Schizosaccharomyces pombe: one gene and its partner. The gene in region 1 interacts genetically with each later gene. Each region holds a gene or a part of one and is shown in the gene's direction. Other genes may lie near its edges.

Evidence for each region. Genes that interact genetically often act in the same process or in processes that back each other up.
Region 2: mutations in ist1 (region 1) and opy1 together harm fitness less than expected from each alone (positive genetic interaction), as found in Schizosaccharomyces pombe (one large-scale study listed by BioGRID).

What each region holds. Positions count from the first base shown.
Region 1 is NC_003421.2:1,795,541-1,798,908, reverse strand, and holds ist1 (MVB sorting pathway protein), read left to right. Parts: upstream 1-1,658; 5' UTR 1,659-1,668; coding exon 1,669-2,001; intron 2,002-2,014; exon of another isoform or gene 2,015-2,070; coding exon 2,071-2,151; exon of another isoform or gene 2,152-2,226; coding exon 2,227-2,628; 3' UTR 2,629-2,868; downstream 2,869-3,368. Other genes in the region: ATP-dependent RNA helicase Dbp6, read right to left, coding at 1-917; zta1 (NADPH quinone oxidoreductase/ARE-binding protein), read left to right, coding at 2,941-3,368.
Region 2 is NC_003421.2:944,016-948,259, reverse strand, and holds opy1 (protein opy1), read left to right. Parts: upstream 1-1,875; 5' UTR 1,876-1,999; coding exon 2,000-2,119; exon of another isoform or gene 2,120-2,400; coding exon 2,401-2,463; exon of another isoform or gene 2,464-2,513; coding exon 2,514-2,589; exon of another isoform or gene 2,590-2,627; coding exon 2,628-3,388; 3' UTR 3,389-3,744; downstream 3,745-4,244. Other genes in the region: ade10 (bifunctional IMP cyclohydrolase/phosphoribosylaminoimidazolecarboxamideformyltransferase), read left to right, coding at 1-428; pog1 (DNA polymerase), read right to left, coding at 3,788-4,244. UniProt on the Schizosaccharomyces pombe protein: Binds phosphatidylinositol 4,5-bisphosphate (PtdIns(4,5)P2/PIP2) at the cell membrane.

The sequences.
Region 1 (3,368 bases):
ACCCAGTCCTGAAAGCTTTGATCGAGCAACCGGTCAGCTTCATCAATTACCATGTAACGCAAATGTTGCAAAGAGAAACTTTCGTCATTTCGGATATGGTCAACTAATCGACCTGGAGTGCTCACCAACACATCAATACGACATTCGTTCTCATCACCATTTAGTTGATATGTTTCATGTCGTAAACTTTTTTGACCAGTCCAGGCACAAACTTGTAAACCGGCACCAGACATATAATACTCAAAGGTTTTAGCAACCTGGACTGTCAATTCTCGTGTGGGAACAATAACCACACAACGCAAACGAGGTACTGTACGGTGACTAAGACATTGGACGATGGGAATCACATACGAAAGAGTTTTACCACTGCCAGTAGCTGCACTTACACAAACATCTCCACCATAACTATACATCGGACCGTGTCTTCCATCTTGTAAGAGTAACGGTAATACAGCAGCCTGAACAGCAAATCCACGGGTGATGTTCTGTTTTTGAAGTCGCTCGACAAGTTTACTAGATATATTTAAAGACGAGAATTCCACAGTTGTATTAGGATCGACAGTTATGGGCTCAGCTAGCCATTTAGGCAAGACAGAGGTGATATTTTTAACATGCGGTTTTGAATCTACAAAGTCTTCAACTGATGGTTGTGGAATTGGTAACAAATCATGAGGTTGAGCTTCAGCATCAACATCCTGCATTTCTATATCTCGCTCATTGTCTTCCTTTCTCGATTGCTTTAAAGCTTGTTGTGCAGCTTGTGAAAAGCTAGCGGATTTCTTCAATCTCTCAATGGCAGCCTCAGAAGCAGTAACATGAGTCTTATTCTCGTCATTAAGCCATTTTCTTTTATTTCTCTTGCTCTTTTTTTCAATTTTAGGCTTCGAATGAGAAGATTTATCTACTTCAACAGACATTGCTCGAATACCAGTACTTGGTACTGGTTAGAAAAAATACTCTTTTGAATATGTGATATGGCTGCTTGTGCTAAACTTGACTATAGCTTAGGAGATTTTAGTAAAGCATAGTATTTATAGTAAGACACTTTATAACCTTGTAAATTCATCGATGATTATTAAAACAACTTGGCATATAGCAATTACAGCCTTACATGGCAAAGATCTATGCTTAAAAGAAATTCAAAAAAAAAAGTCTAATACTAAAGAAGAATGTTCATTCAAACCCATATGTACGTTTCACTAGATCATATTTGGTTTCAGAAATTGCACAAAAAGTGCTTTTAGCAGGGACCGAGCTATCATTGAACATTTCTATTAAATCCGTGGGTTTAAAATATAACTAATACTAGCTATAGATGTAAGAAGCATTTCTCGCAGGACTTTGAGCGTATTGTTCACGAACAAGTATTTAGCAAATATAGATGACTAGAACGTTTTGCTTTCAACTTTTCAATGTTAATATAAAAGGCATCTGAATATTTAGAATAAATATCTAAACATTTGCTAAGCTGAGTTACACCATGAGTTAACGTTTGAAACGCGATATCAACACATTAGCTTCTTGATTTCGAATCCAGTATATATAGCATCCCTTGAATGTTTTTGTAAGATTCCTCAGTTTCTATTTATTTTTATAAATAATTGAACAGTTTCATCGTGAAAACATACTTATCTGGTTATTAGTGTCCTGAGCTTAGCATAAACCAATATGTCAAGACTACAGATACAACTGAAATTAGCAGCCTCAAGGATAGAAATATTAAGACAAAAGGAAGAGGCTTTAGCCAAACAAGCTAGAAGGAATGTTGCTTTGGGCTTAAAGTCGTATTCACCGGCTTTGGCCAAAGCCCGCATTGAACCTTTAATTATGCAGGATATCTATATTGAGTTGTTAGAATTGCTTCAAGTTGATGTAGAAATACTTGCCAATAGGTGCGTAGTGTTAGAGAAACGCGCGTTTAATGATTCTATGTCGTTTAAATCTTCTTTGTATCATGTTATGGCTGCTGCACCTCAGTTACAGATTAAAGAATTGCGATTTGTAAGTCAACAATTAAAGATAAATTTTTAAAATTTAGTTTTTTATAACTAACTTGTTTATTATTTATAGGTTCATGATTTTCTAGTAAAATTGTATGGCAAGGAGTTTGCAAGATTAAGTGACCCTGATCTAGCTACTAATGATACTGCTGTAAGTTTCTGTTATTTATTTTCATTGAAAATAAAAAAACGCGCTAAAAAAAGTTCGTATGCTAATCAATTCTAGTTTTACCAACTTTTATACCCTCCTATTCCAAAGGATGAACTAGTCGAAGCCTATAGAAAAGAGTTAATTCGTACTTATTTTCCAAATGATTATCCTAAAGAAGCTAATAAAGATATCCCATCTTCTGCTGAAGCTGATACAATGTTGAACCTCGAATCTTCTGAGAATCGTGAACAACCTACTTCATTGAAAGAAGAAAACACTCAAGAAGATGATGAAAAAGTGAATGGGAATCTAGCTAACATTTCAAAACGCGCTGAACCTCAGAATAATGGATCAACAAATGCATCCTCACTGCAATCCTCTAACTATTTACCCACAAATCCAACATTAACACATTCTAATAAAGCTCCTTCTTTTGAAGAGCTTGCTGCTCGTTTAGACCGTCTAAAACATTTATAAATATACCATTCTTCATGTATCGCATCTCTGTTTGTATCTACAAACATCCTTTTTCCCTTTTTAATGGTCTTTTTACGAAAAAACAAGATCATGTTTGATTAGTAATTTTCTTCTAGGAGATTCCTTGCCAACTATAAGTTGGGTGTCCTGTATCGACATCGATGCCATTTCTTGCTCATTCAATCGTTGCACTGCGATCTCCATGCCTAACCTCATTATTATAAAACGATAACTATTACCACTCGTTCCCATAATCCTTACTTACGCTTTAAAACCAACTTATTTGCTCTTCTTGTTTAGTAATTTTATAATATGTCAAATTTATTAGTGCAGGTTTCCAAGACCGGCCCATCTTCCGTTTTGCAAGTAATAACGAAGGAAATTCCCAAACCAGCACCCAATGGCTTGGTTATTAAGAATGCATATGCAGGATTGAATTATATAGATACTTATTTGCGAACCGGTTTGTATACTGCTCCTCTTCCTTATATACCTGGTAAAGAGGCAGCCGGTGTTGTTGCTGCAGTCGGCGATAAAGTTGAAGCAGATTTCAAAGTGGGTGATCGAGTGGTCTACCTTACACCATTTGGTGCGTATGCCCAATATACCAACGTTCCCACCACATTAGTTAGTAAGGTCTCTGAAAAGATTCCATTGAAGATCGCTTCTGCTGCTCTCCTGCAAGGCCTTACTGCTTATACACTTATTGAAGAAGCTTATCCTGTGAAAACGGGAGACAC
Region 2 (4,244 bases), 850 kb from region 1:
TTCATTGCAACCGTTTGGCCGGTGATAAGGCTGATAACTGGTGGCTTCGTCATCACCCTAAAGTCTTGGGTATGCAATTTAAGAAGTCTGCTAAGCGTCCTGAGAAATCTAACGCTATTGACTTGTACGTCCTTGATGCCGTTCCTGCTGAAGGTAGTGAACGTGAGCAATGGGAGTCTGCATTCGAGACTATTCCCGAGCCTCTTACTAAAAAGGAGCGGGAGGAATTTTTGGCTACTTGCAAGGATGTTGTCTGTGCCAGTGATGCCTTCTTCCCCTTCCCTGACAACATCTATCGTCTTGCCCAAAGCGGTGTCAAATATGTTGCTGCACCTGGCGGTAGTGTCATGGATCAAGCTGTTCGCGACACTGCTAATGAGTTCAACATGGTCTTTTCCGAGATCCCCTTGCGTTTGTTCCACCATTAATCTTGTTTGTATACCTAATTTTTGACCACTATTACTATGGATATAATTTTTTTTGTTCTGTATATTTGATAGGTTTCCTCAGTTTATACCATCATTTAATAGAGGTATTACAATAAAGACTTCAACGTCTTTTACTTTTTTTGATTTAATATAAAAAAATTTGGCATCTTTTTTGTATCCTGAATTTTGAAAAGATTTCCGATACTCAAGGCATTTTATTTCAGTAATAGTAGGGAAAATATTTTTTATTGTTTAACACGAATGCAACAATTTTATTCGAAAGCTTGGAAATTCACAGCATAACGGGCTCAATAAAGCATTTTTGGTTGCTAAGCTAACATATGAAGTAGAAAGGAAAACGCCATCAAACCTGCTTTTTGGATGTGAGCTTCGCAGTAAACTGACTGAGTTAAACATGTTCTTGGGTGTTTGCAAATTTCTATTAAATTGATTGAGCGTATGTTTTTGCTGCAGTTGATTTGAAGCATAAAAAATCCGGTCAGGGAGGGACTCGAACCCTCGACCTCACGATTAACAGTCGTGCGCAATAACCAACTATGCTACCCGACCTTAGTTACTCACGAGCAAAATTAGTACTATTTAATGGTATTAAAAAGGATTTAATGACTTTAAAATTGTTTTTTTTTTAACCCCATTCTTGCTTGATATATTTCCCATCTTAAAGGGTTACATACTCTTATTCTTTTATCTTTCATTCGATTGTGATTGATTTACCATATCAATAATCATCTTACAAGACCGGAAACTATCAACTATCTGGACGTAAAGTGAAGCATAAAGAAGATGGCATAGAGGACGGAAGGGAATTTTTATTATTATTCCAAGAAACCATGCTAAAATCACGTTTAAACCCTACTCCCTACTAACTCAGTATCTACTGAGTAGCTTTCATAGGTCTCGAACCGAATGGGAAAGACCAACGCTTTCTACATTAGAGAAAGTGGTTCTCTAAAAAATATTTAAAAAAGTATTTCTTTCTTGTTGCTTTTCTTTTTGTTACAGCGAACAAGTGCTCCCTTTAAATAGCTTTTTTGTTTTCATCCTGCCAGTCCTTACAACAATCCCTTACCACTGTGCACCAATACAACCTAAAGTTGAATTTCTGTAACAGTAGGATTTACAAAAGTTCTTTTGATTCTTAATTAGTATACGAGATGTAGCACTTCTACACGATTACTGTGTCCATGTACTATATGGTTGTATGCCTCTCAAAATAAAGATGACATATTTTCAGACTACCTTTTTCAAAAAGAAGGCTTCTCAATTCTACTGCTACAATTTATTCGTACTATCATTTCTATTATTGAAATTTCTCTACCATACATTTTAATTTCACTTGACAAATAGCGATACGTTAATGAACGCTATTACTGAATATGTACGTCGCTGGTACCACTAACACGTATGCGTTAGGAAACGTGATTTTAACCAAAATCTGTATAGAGGACGACTTTACATCGTTCTAGTTTAACACCTTTCAGTTTAAGGAATTTTCTTGATGTATTCAAAAGAAAGAAGGCGTTTATTAGTTTGACTATTCGCTTGATGAAATGGACCCAGGAGTTTCATCGCATCTCAGAACTGCTAGCCTTGATGAAGCAAGAAGGCTTCCAGAGCTTGAGCGTGTTTTAAAATCCGGATGGTTGATAAAGAAAGGACATGCAACTTCTGTATGTATTCATTAACTTAGTTGTCTGAGTAATATTTACGATACGTTTGAGTGGAAAGGGATTTGGAGTATTCTTTAATTTTGTGAAGTGTACTTAGAAGTGAATGATACGTACTCTTAATTCTTTATTGTTCGCTTTTGATTTGGGGATATGATGATGCAAACAGCACCCTACAAGCACTTTGACCAATTGATTTTCAGAATATTCCAATTATTTGCTTCCCGTTTCAGAGTCAATATTTGCACTCATGGTTTTTTTTGTAGTGGATGCTAACAACCTAGACTAAAAAGCAATTATGGGCTGTTCTTCGCAGAGATCAGTTATCTTTTTACAAAGACGAAAAGGTTTGTGAATAAAATGTGCAAATTTCAACGACGCGCTAACAGTCTTCAAGGAGTACAAAACCAAATTTATTTTCCCTACTCAGGATATTTCAGCTGTTGCCTACTACAAAGAAAAATCACCAAAAAGTACGTTAGAATTTTTGATGTTTATATCTAATGTTTAGCTTTTTTCCTGTATTTAAATGAAAAGATAATTCGTCTCATTGCCACTTCAAATGAGGATGCTGAGGAATGGGTTCATGTTCTAAGATCCACAACGGGTTATAGGGCACCGTTTTCAAGACATCCTATCAGTTATATCCTTGCGAACTCTTCATCTCGAACCGAAAGCGAGCCTAACGTTCAGATCTCTGATACTGACTTCGACAATATTTCGACTGAACCTCGTAATCAAACGACTTCTCCTTTAGACTTGGAAACTGGTCAGGGTGACCATTTCTGTACTTCACTTTATGATTTGATACAGTTTGGAAAGTTGAGACCACCAGGTATCAATGAAGAAAATGCAAATTACCCCTTCAACCCACAAGAAGTTAATACGCTGAATAAGCACAGGCATTCGGCTTCCTTACAAAATCTCTATAAACTCTTGGATGAAAATAAAGTTCTTATGCAAGGAACCATTCACTGGCTACATGGAAATTTACATAGGTGGTCCAAGTGTTGGGCTGTTGTTCGTGGATATGGTATGACTATTTACAACACGAACCGAGAGTACAAACCTGTTAAAGTGATACCGATAGCCGACATTCAGGATGTTGCTGAAATAAACGTTCCGGAAAGCTCACACAAATACTTTTTTACCGTAATTACGCAAAACAAACCTATCGAATTTCGCGTTGATAACGAAGATTCACTTATACTCTGGGTTGCTGCACTTAAGACTTCTATTGACAAGGCCAATGGTACTTTTACTGCTTGTTAAAAATGGCTTTTCCATCAAAATATTTGGTGCATAATACGATTCCTCAGCTACTTTTCTAGCTACCTTCTTGTGATTTCCTTTCATAAGACTCCCCTTACCCTTCGTGTACATACGTGTTGATCCGTTCTGTTTCTATATGTTTTGACTATCTCGTTGTTTTTTTTTTGTCTAATAATATTTCCGATAATGTCCGAAAATCGACACAGCTAGTTACAAAAGTGTCTTTCTTGCTCTAATTTAATGATTTTTTTCCTTCGTCATGAGCCAGTTTGTAGTACCATCGTTCGCTCCACTAAACAAACCTTTTGATGAAAATTATTTTCAATGTCATAACTATCCCTAAAATTATCCTAACCGAAAAACACATTTTTTAACTAAAATAAATTATTCTTTTGCTGATCAGTAAAATGCTTGTGCTTTTAAATATGCAATGTTTTTTTTGTCTTCTTCTGTAATCTCTGCTGAAGTAGTAGCTTTAACATCCACAAAACACTGAATTTGCTCAAGTGGCTCAAGTGATTGACCGGACTGCTCGAGTTTTTCTAGAACTGACTCTATAGTAAGCTCTTCTCCAGGAGGTATGGGGACTTTGTTAGAGGGTGTTACACAGTCCATCTTAACATCTTTTCTTAGTACATGGTCAATATCAACGGAAGAAAAAAATGCGACAGATTGTGGAAGCTCGTTGATGCCAAGTCGTTGACAAAAAAACGCACGAGTCCACAAGTTAGCCACCTGTAAGGCAAATGCAACCCGATATTTATCTTTATCTGATGATAAATAACGAACCTCGTCATGAACAGTTAAAGAAAGGCGAGCTTCTAGATAATATTTCTTAATTAAATGATTCATGGAT